3 linked regions of the Mus musculus genome follow. The protein of the gene in region 3 purifies or fractionates together with the protein of the main gene of each other region. This does not show direct contact. Links are inferred from orthologs where the notes say so. Each region holds a gene or a part of one and is shown on either strand. Other genes may lie near its edges.

The links.
Region 1: the proteins of Dtl (region 3) and Cops5 purify together in Homo sapiens (affinity purification with mass spectrometry; 6 studies listed by BioGRID and IntAct, with this or other methods). This does not show direct contact. The link is inferred for Mus musculus from reciprocal best matches to the Homo sapiens genes DTL and COPS5.
Region 2: the proteins of Dtl (region 3) and Cul4a purify together in Homo sapiens (affinity purification with western blotting; 15 studies listed by BioGRID and IntAct, with this or other methods). This does not show direct contact. The link is inferred for Mus musculus from reciprocal best matches to the Homo sapiens genes DTL and CUL4A.

The regions. Positions count from the first base shown.
Region 1 is NC_000067.6:10,035,229-10,039,487, reverse strand, and holds the start of Cops5 (COP9 signalosome complex subunit 5), read left to right. Parts: upstream 1-1,349; 5' UTR 1,350-1,477; coding exon of another isoform or gene 1,478-1,569; 5' UTR 1,570-1,675; coding exon 1,676-1,818; exon of another isoform or gene 1,819-1,826; intron 1,827-4,259. Other genes in the region: Cspp1 (centrosome and spindle pole associated protein 1), read right to left, coding at 1,144-1,349. UniProt on the Homo sapiens protein: Probable protease subunit of the COP9 signalosome complex (CSN), a complex involved in various cellular and developmental processes.
Region 2 is NC_000074.6:13,143,581-13,146,142, reverse strand, and holds part of Cul4a (cullin-4A), read right to left. Parts: intron 1,867-2,562; coding exon 1,714-1,866; intron 1-1,713. UniProt on the Homo sapiens protein: Core component of multiple cullin-RING-based E3 ubiquitin-protein ligase complexes which mediate the ubiquitination of target proteins. As a scaffold protein may contribute to catalysis through positioning of the substrate and the ubiquitin-conjugating enzyme.
Region 3 is NC_000067.6:191,544,516-191,548,168, reverse strand, and holds part of Dtl (denticleless protein homolog), read left to right. Parts: intron 1-1,545; coding exon 1,546-1,678; intron 1,679-3,653. UniProt on the Homo sapiens protein: Substrate-specific adapter of a DCX (DDB1-CUL4-X-box) E3 ubiquitin-protein ligase complex required for cell cycle control, DNA damage response and translesion DNA synthesis.

The sequences.
Region 1 (4,259 bases), about 180 Mb from region 3:
ATTCTGTATGTTTCGAGTGGCTGTGTATTGTGACCACTGGAACAAGCTTACACAAGCTTCTCAGAAAGAACTTAAGATACTAATGTACTCTAATGTCCCTAGTGTGCCCGAAGTTATACTTTAAGAAGATTCTATTTTTATTTTTGGTTTCGTTATTTTGTCTCCAATAGTCCAGGGAGAAAGCGGGGTTGGAACTCTTGATTCTCCATTCTCCACCTCCCAAGTACTGGAATTAGAAGAATGTTGCAATGTCCTTGCTCTGTTTTGTTTGCCCAGCTCCTTGACTTTTTGAAACAGGGTCTCCTGCAGCCCAGGCAAAAGCACCTGCATTAGAAGAGGATACAGACGGGCAGTAGTGGTGCACGCCTTGAATCCCAGCACTCAAGCAGGCAGCTCTCGAGTTTGAGGCCAGCCTGGACTACATAGTTCCAGAACTGCAAAAACCCCGGGGTCCAGGTGAAGCAGCTACAGAGCCTTCGAATTCCTGTGAAGGAGCAGTTACTGACGAAGAGTTAAGGAAAGGCATCTCCGAGCTGTGCTTTTTAAAATCTGTGTGCTCTAAAGCAGAAATGTCAAGAAGTGCATTTCAAGCAATGCCTAACAACTAATATATTACTAAGCCAAGGAAAAAAGTTCTAATAGAATGAAAAACTGGGTTGGGGGAGCTAAAAGAAGATGATGAAGCTGGAGAAGTCTTTAAGAACCGTGTTACGAAAAAAATTAAATATATTAGAATTAAATAAAACACAAATTTCATGCATGCCTTCAACTTACAGTCTAGTGGGCAATTGGGGATGAGAATGTGAGGGAAGAAAACCTAAAAATACGACTGAAACAAATTTCACATTAACTGCTGGAAGGCACAGGTTGCGGAGATTAAATCTGCACTGAGACAAACCTTTTTTAAAAAGTAGCGCCTAAGGCATTCACCGCTCCTAACACTTGTATAAAATGTTACCCTATAAAGTCCCTAAAAAAGTTAATCTTAGCAACCGGTAACTTTTGCTTGCCACCTCGCAACAGTAGCGAAAACACAAAAGCGGAACGCCAACCACAAACCCCGGAGGCTTAACACACCGCAAATTATCTTAAAAGAGTCACGCGATCTTCCCCCTCCAAAACCAATAATCCGGAGATACTTACACCTCTGTTTCTCTAGAGATATTTAGTATTCCAAACAATTTATTTCGTTTGAAGCACCTACACTCACATAAACATAATTCCCCAAACTCAAGTTTCCTCCTACACACAATATGGTGGCATCTGAGTCTGCGCAGTACGAGCCGAGCCGGCCGACTCCTTCCTGGCAGGCCAATAGTCCCGCCTTCCGGCGCGAAAGGCTGTACCATTCCCACACCGAGGCTTTGCGTCCCTCGCAGTTCACACGAACGGATTTCCGAGCCAGCATGTTCTCGTTTCACCGGCAAGACTGATCTTAGCCGAGCCGAGCCGAGCCAACCCTAAGGAAGTGTTTTCTATGTCGCTGCGCCGCCGCCGCGCCCCAGCGCGCGAATGGTCTGGACCAACGTCACCTCCGGTCTCAAGTGTCATGGCTGCCTTGAGAGTCTAGTGAGTGTGCACCCTGGTGGGGAAGGTCCAAAGCCCGCACGCTGAGGCCCAGTAGAAGAAAGTTGCATCTTGATTGTGGAGCGACAGCTTCTCCGGTGCCTCGGCCATGGCAGCTTCCGGGAGTGGTATGGCCCAGAAAACCTGGGAATTGGCCAACAACATGCAGGAAGCGCAGAGTATCGATGAAATCTACAAATATGACAAAAAACAACAACAAGAAATCCTGGCGGCGAAACCCTGGACTAAGGAGTGAGGAGGTCCCTGGCGAGACGCAGGGGAGGGCAGGGATGGCGGGACTGTGAGAGACCCGCGAGGGGTGGGAGATGAAGGGTGTGGTGAGCTTGGCTTTCTGTGGGGCGTCGACCGAATATTGGCCACAGTGGCCTTAGTCTGCCTTGTCAGTAGAGCCTTACCTGTCCTCTAGGGCCTGCTTCGATTCCCCTTTTAGAAAGTTTCTTGCCTTCAGGGCGTGTAAAGGGCTGACTTGGGGTGCGACTTTTGTCAACATGATTATTTTTGTAAATCTCACACACTCTGCCTTGAACCTGGTGGCTACATGCAGTTAGTTGCAGCCTTCAGTAGATTCCCAAACTGAAGAGCGTGGCTGTTTTTATAAATCGAATGAGCAGAGCATTGATTTAAAAAAAAAAAAAAAATCCATGAGCTCTTGGATTGATTGGTTTGGTTTTTTTTCAGCTCTTTAGACACATACCAAATCCTCTTAGCAGTTCCCTACAATACTACTACAATTCATGTAAACCAGGAATTATAAGAGAGAGCTTAGAAGCATTTTCCCCAGCCAAATCCATGTATCTTTGGGATTGACGACAAGTCAAATGATTCTTTAGAGCAAATTGTATTAAGGAGAGTGAAGAAAAAAATTACAAAAGGTTGCTGAGTAGACTGTCTTGCTGTCTCCAGGTGTTTTGTTCTGATGGCACAGCTGGCTTTAACCGTCAGTACTCTGTTTTCAGTGTTTATTGAGTTCTTACTGTGGGCCTGGCACTGGCCTGAAGATTTTCGTGTCTTTTAATAATCTTGACAATCCAGGATTCTTTCCCTTTCTGTAAATAGAAAAATAAGCAAATACATTCAGAAACACACCTCATGGTCATACTATAGCAATGAGCTTAGGTTCAATAGACTGAAAATCAGGTCTCAATAACTGTCATTTAGACTGTTGACTGGCATTAGGAAACTAAAGTATCTAAACTTATCTATAAGATAAAGGTTAAACGTAGCTATTAATGATGTCATGAAGATGAGATAAGGTAATTTATTAAGAAGTTCTGGATGAGCCATATGTAATGAGAGCATAGTAATGGTTGTTTTTATCTTTTTCCCAAGTAGATGGAAAAGCCAGTTTTTTAATTTATATCTTGATTTCCAAGATGGTCTCAGTAACTTTGAGCTTGTGGTTGAAATCTAACAAAAGCTATATTTGGTTGCATGCATCCAGTGGGCCATGGCAACGCTGAGTGCCCCACACAGATTACTTAGCTGTTTCTAAAGCAAGCTGCGTGATTTAGGTGGATGTAAACTCAAGACTTCTTCACCATCTATGGCTATCCTAACATGTAGGGTATGTCAGGGATTTTAAACTGTTGTTCAAGAGTTTAATCACATACAATGGTTAGTCAAAGAAGTAAAGATACTAGATCACTCTCAAGATGCTATCAGAAGGAAGCCACAAGCTAACACACTTTTTTTGAGAATATCTTAAAACAGGTTAATAAGGCTGATAACAGTACCTTAGGTTTTAGTGTCTGTGGGACTAAGCACTTACTGTGTACTTTTCATACTAATAGGTGACATACCTATTTATAGATATGTGACATAGACATTAAGTGGCCCTACTCTCTCAGGTAGGGAGTGTCAGTGTAAGATTTTAGACCTAAGCAGGGCAATTTCAGAGGCAAACATTGTAGAAATTAAATCCTCTGGCTCTGTAGGTAATAATACTTGCTATCAAGCATGCAGACCTGAGTTCAAATCCCCAGCATCTATTGTAAAAATCCATGTGTGGATATGTGTGTGTGTAACCTTTTAGCATTGTATTGAAGGATGGCAGAGAAAAGGAAGTCTGTAAGCTGGTCAGTCAGCCAAAACAGTGAGCTTTCAGTAAGAGGCTCTCTCTGTCTCAAGGGGATGAAGTAATAAAATAGAGGAAAATGAGCTGGGCATGGTGACACCCACATTTAATCTCAGCAGAGGTGGGTGATCAAGTTCCAAGGTCAGCCTGGACTACTGGACAGCCAGGTTATACAGAAAAACGCAGTCTTAAAACAAAACAAAACAAAAGGTAGAGAAAGACCCCTGACAGTCCCTGTCATCTCCACATGCCATCTGGTGGCACACTAATAAACATGTACCACAGATAATAAATAAATAAATTACTTAATTAATAACTCAGTAAATTAAGGTCAGAAAGCTAGGCCTAAGAAGGTAATCAAGTATAATAATTCCATGATGATTGAGAAAAAAGGCCTGTGGACTTGATCATTACTCCCTCACCTCAGCAGTATATTAAAGTTTATCCCAGACTCTTTATTTTACCCAAGGGGCTGAGCTGTGACTGTGACATGTTATCTCCAGGTACCTCATACTTGCTGCTCTTATTCTACTCCCACGCACGGTCCATACTCCCCTTCCATCACTATCAATCCCTTCAGAACTTACTTATTTTCACA
Region 2 (2,562 bases), on a different chromosome or scaffold from region 3:
TGCCTTACCCTCAGGGCCCTCGTGCTGCTCCTGCTCAGAGTCTGAGCTATTGTCCATGAACTCACTAAGTAGCCCAGGTTGGATTCAAACTTGCAGCAATCCTCCTGTATCAGCCTCCCTGAGGTAAAGGTTATAGGTATACACCATCTCTAGCCATTCACTCGTGTGAAGCACTTTTTCTATGTGCTCAGCCTCCTAGTCAGTCCATGCTTACCAGATATGGCACATCACAGTACAGCCACACATTCTGAGTGTTTTTCTAAGTTACTGCAAAAGTGTCATTGTCACTATGTAGGTCTTACTACAGAGCCTGTTCTCACTGCTTTGACTTGCCATGTGGATAGAAAGCAGGGGACCAGCCACATATACCAGCCCTGCCTTTGTTGTTTTCTTTTGTGAGACAAGATCTATCCTTGTAGTCCTAGCTGTCTTGGAACTCCCTATGTACACCAGGCTGGACCCAAATTCACGGAGGTCTGCCTGCCTCTTCCCCTGAGTGCCAGAATTAAAGGTGTATACCGCTATACCCAGTCAAAGAACTCAGTCTCTGTGCGGATGACTAAAACCAAGGCCAAGTCCACAGCCTTAGAATGTCTCTGCCATCACTTCTGCTGCAGGAGGAAGCAGAGCACTCAGACTTGGAAGCAGGGGCCTTCTGCTGAGGGAGCATCCTTTCCCAAACAGCAAACCCTTCTCTTCATGGGCAGCCCATGCCTGTTACAAGATATGGCTGACCATACAATTAGCTATAAAGCATGGGAGCTAGAGCTTTGCCCATTTGCACATGACACTCTACACTTAATTACCAGGTTACAACATTTGCAAACTGACAAACAGATGCCCTGACTTGGGGTAGGAAACATCGCAGTACAGCATGGGCTGTGCATCCATCATCATGGAGGGCAGGGCAGGGCAGGGCAGCGGCCAGGCACTGGCCTCACCTATGCTTGAGGTACTGACTAATCTGTCTGTCTCAGTGTGACTCAGGTGTCATGCAACCAGGGGACTTCCAGTTGCTGAAGGATGCAGGTCCTGAGAATTCAATTCCTTCTGAGCTGATAATGCATTTTAGACTGCATTTTATAATGTATTTTTCCAACGCTCCTCCAGCTCATCCTGTATTTCACATGCTATAGAACCTCAGCGCTTAGTTCTAGAACTAAAAGAAAGAGGGTGACTTACATCTCCAAAGCAGGAAATGCTACTTAGTTTGTGAATGCTGAATCTAGCACCTACCAACACCACTGCCACAAGGGCCTGCCTGGGTAGTAGCCTTAAGAACTATGGTGAGGGAAGAACATGTGTTCTAACATCTTGTGGCTGTGGCCTCTGCTCCCTCCTGAAAACACAGCATGGAGAAGCAATGAGTCTTTAGGAAGATGTGCACAGGGCCCTTGCCCTCCCTCATGTGTGCTGGCCTCTGCTCATACCAGCCCTGTCAAATAAGTCAAATGCCAGGACACTGAGATTCTAACATGTTGGGGATGAATACAGCACATAACACCGAGCTGTGTCCACAGCACTCACCCCGACACCCAGCTGTGCCCACAGCACTCACCCTGACCCCGATTTGTGCCCACAGTACTCACCCTGACCCCCATTTGTGCCCACGGTACTCACCCTGACCCCCAGCTGTGCCCACGGCACTCACCCCGACACCCAGCTGTGCCCACGGTACTCACCCTGACCCCCAGCTGTGCCCACAATACTCACCTTCACTGGAAATTTCAGCTGATTGTATAATTCAGAAACTAGAAGATTATGACCAAGTGTCTTCCTCATTTTCATTATTCTGACTATAGCAGCGTCGATCTGGTACTGTCTATCCTGGAATACTCTCTCTGTAGTGCTAACCTGTTCTTCAACCTGAACAATGAGAAAGGAGAACAGAAGGAGGGCACAGATGCTTCAGGACTGCTTTGCATTGACAAACTTGGTTTGATGCAGACTAAGGCAGGCTTTGTTCTGCTTTGTTATGTTTTAATTTGTTCCATGAAAGCTCTTAACTTTTCCAAGGTATACAACTCTAAAACTAACTTGGAAAAGTGATTTTAAAAGTTGTATTTTTGGGCTGGTGAGATGGCTCAGTGGGTAAGAGCACCCGACTGCTCTTCCAAAGGTCCGGAGTTCAAATCCCAGCAACCACATGGTGGCTCACAACCATCTGTAACAAGATCTGATGCCCTCTACTGGAGTGTCTGAAGACAGCTACAGTGAACTTACATATAATAAATAAATAAATCTTTAAAAAAAAATGTATTTTTCTTATAAGAATGCTTATATCAGGGCTTCCTAGCAGCACAGGATGGTTGTAAGCCACCGTGTCCATACTGGCAACCAAAATCAAGTCCTCTGAAATTGCTTCTGATGGTGGAAAGCTCCCTCTGCCTCCTCAGACCATACTAGTGCGTATTCTGAGGACACTTTCTGTGCAGCAAACCGAAAGCCTCAGGACAAGTGACACCATCACTGTCTGTCTGTGGGAGGGGCAGCCTGCGACATCAACCAGGTAATGACTTGTTCTGTAAATCTGTTCTCCCATCTACAGTTTGTCTCATACAC
Region 3 (3,653 bases):
CGAGTGAGTCACAGCACAGGGTTTCTCCTGGCCTTTCTTACCAATAGGAAAATCACTATGTGCTGGGTTTCTAATCCACTGAGCTCTTCTTTTCTTAAGTAGGAGTTGAAATTTTGAACTGAAGATAAATCTTAAAATCTGAAGTGAAGGTCTAGAGAGGTGGCTCGGTGGTTAAGAGCAAACACTGTTCTTTAAGAGGTCAACCTGAGTTTGGTTCTTAGCATCGACATCAACATCAGGAGCCTCATGGCCAGCTGCCCATAACTCCAGCTCCAGGGGGATCCAGCACATCTGGCCTCCATGTTGTGTACCTGCTATCAAAAGCTTTGAGACACATGCAATTAAAAATATATAGATTTTTTAAAATATTTAAACCAAATCTAAGATGAAAAAGTAGTAAGTGGCTGGAAGATGGCTCCATGGGTAAAAACACTTGCTATGTAATCATAATGACCTGAGTTCAAATCTCCATCAATTTTAAAAGCTGGGTAGTTGCTTTAAAGGATTTTTAAATAAGATAAAAGAATGTAAAGAAGCAGACGTGTAGTAGGTGTCCGTAAATATAATTATTGTCACTATAGAGCAATTGTGGAGTTCCAAACATTTTTTTGGCCTCCCAGTAAGGGAAGGAAAATGTTGCCAGTCTCTTGGGGGCCACAAGTTAAAAGAACGTGTGTTCTTTTTTTCCTTTCTGTTTAGTGACTGAAATAGAGAAATTGTATAAACAAATGCCGGGGAACAGCTCTGGCATTAGTGGCCATTTGCCTCTAGCTCTTCAAGCTGGGCTTTCTCTGCCATAAAAGGCTTGGGACCAAGATCAGGAATGGTCGGATATTTTTAAAGGGGCAAAGGTTATTTTTAACTTCTTTGAGACTAGTGAACTTTTGTTTTTCCAGATTGCTCCTTTACCTATCTGAAAGAGCATCTCTGAGTCTTCGAAGAGCAGCTCTTTTGCACTTGTTGTGGACTGCTGGAGGCACAGACTATGTCTCATCTGAGAAATGTTCTCGTTGCTTTAGCCATAAGATTAAGCATGCAGAATTTAGAAGAAACTTATAGAATTGATATGTGTTGATTGATCATTTCATAAAAGGAAACCATAGTTACATAACATTACATAAAAAGTTAGAGATGTGAGTTGCCCATCTTCTTTGGAGACCAAAAAGAAATGAGCCTGTAAGTGTAAATGGCTGAGGAGAGAATGGTATGCTGGAGAGAGCGTCCTCTGCTGTTGTTGCAGAGGACCCAGACTTAGTTCCCAGCACCCACATGACGACTCTAACTTCATTTCCATTGAGTCTGATGCACTTTTCTGTTCTCCGTTGCTATACGTGTCCATGCAAGAAACCAACGTTTGTATCATTGGAAATCTAGGATGATTCTGAAGCACGAGGGATAGAGAAGTAGATGATATTTAGATGTCATCTGTTTTATGTTACAGCAGAGAAAATCAGTCGCTACTCATGAGCCCTCATCTACCATCTTTTTTTGTTTGTTATGAAACTTTATTTGAAACTTCATTCACATTCTCCTCCTGGTTCTTAGATTGCAACCTGCTCTGATGATAATACACTGAAAATCTGGCGCTTGAATAGAGGCCTAGAGGAGAAACCAGGTGATAAACATTCCATAGTGGGTTGGACCTCTCAGAAGAAAAAAGAAGTGAAAGCCTGCCCAGGTAAGGATAGCATGCATTCTCCAAGGTTTTTTGGTGGTGGTGGTGGTGGTGGTGGTGGTGGTGGTGGTGGTGGTTTCTTTCTTTTGTTAGTTGAGTCCTACTGTGTACTATGGGAGCCTAGGTTTGTTCTTGTTTTGTAATATTTTTAAAGAAAAGCATCATTTTGGCTTTTTTTTTCCCTTCAAGATTTATTTATTTTATGTATGTGAGAACACTGTTGCTGTCTTCAGATACACCAGATCCCATTATACATGGTTTTGAGTCAACATGTGGTTACTGGGAATTGAACTCAGGACCTCTGAGAAAGCAGTCAGTGTTTTTAGCCGCTGAGCCATCTCTCTAGCCCTTGGCATTTCTTAGAAGAGAATTATCCAGATCACAACTCTGTTTATCTATGAAAAAAAGCACAGTAATGGATTTAGCCAACAAATATTTATGGACTGTCATGTACTAGGTACTCTTAGTTTTGATTGGCAATGACCAGAAGACTCAAGACTCAGATATAAACACATGAAATAACAGGAGCTGCTTAGTAGCATAAGTGAGAGAAAAGAATGGAAATTGCTGTCAAATGTTTCTATGATAGAGGGGCCTCATTGACTTAAGTAAGTGAAGTACTTGGTGAGCCGTGTGGCTATTTGGAAGACTATTCCAGATACAGCATGGCAAGGGTAAGGTGCTGCAGCAGGGGAGCACTGGCATGTCTCCTCTGCCTCAGTGTCCTTAGCACTAAAGCACTGAGGGACAGCAGGAAAGCAGTAGTAGCAGAAAACGGAGTTTGTGTATAACGGAAACCTTCAAAGCCTGTGTGGTAGCACATCCCTTTTAATCCCAGTACTCAGGAAGAGTGAGTTTGAGGCTAGCCTAACCTCTCTAGCACATCAGCCATTGCACACTATAAGCCAACTTCTATAACAGATTGTCTGCTATTAACTACACTGCCCCCCCTTTTTTTTTTTTGGTGTTTTCAAGACAGGGTTTCTCTGTGTATCCCTGGCTGTCCTAGAACTCACTCTGTAGACCAGGCTGCCCTCGAACTCAGAGATCTGCCTGCCTCTGCCTCCCAAGTGCTGGGATTAAAGGCGTGCGCCACCACTACCTGGCTGTTTTCTGGCTTTCTTAACACTAACTGCAAGGTATAACCCTTTTAATTTTACCAAAGTTTTGCTAACCTTTAGTGTTCACAAACTCTTCTCTTTGACACCCCATATCATAACATCGTAAAGAAGAAATTACCTAATTTCTTAACCATCTTTCAGTCCCTCCTCTGCTCTCCAGTATCATGTTTCTGTTAACCTTTAGTAGACACTTGCAGCATGTGGCTTTTGAGTATCAAAAACTTGATAGCTATTCTTTATCCCATTTATTCTTTACCCAAAAGCCTTATTGGAACTTGGTATGTTGCTAGACATGTAGTATTTCAGGACTTCTGTGCAAATACACATATGGGTTGTTTAAATGGAGGACGTGATTATCGACCTGAACTGAGCAGTACATCCAATGACCCCTTCTTGATTCCTGCCATAGTTACCGTAATCAAAGCCAGAGCAGATGTGTGATGCCCGTGGCTAACGTCCTTTTCATAGCAGCTTAGGACAGTGACGCTGCCAGCTGTGACTTTACTGGAAGAACAAACTCACTTTAGACAAGTCTAAGCACTTGCTTAAGGATAAAAATTGAAAGAAAAGTATTTATCAAACTATTGTCTTGAGCTGTCAAGATGCCTTAGTGGCACCAATCAAGCCCAACAAGCTGAATTTATGCACACAGTAAAGAGGCCAGTTCCCACAAAATACTCTGGCGTGTCGAAGAACTGTGATTCAAGACAAGACTGATAAAATAGTGAGGACAGAATAATACACTAAGATTGGCTCTGTAAAACTTAATTTTTGCTGAGAGAGATCTATTACATGTCTTTTTTTAAAATAGGGTTTTTTGGGGGGTTGTTTTTTGTTTTGGGGGGGGTTAATGAGTA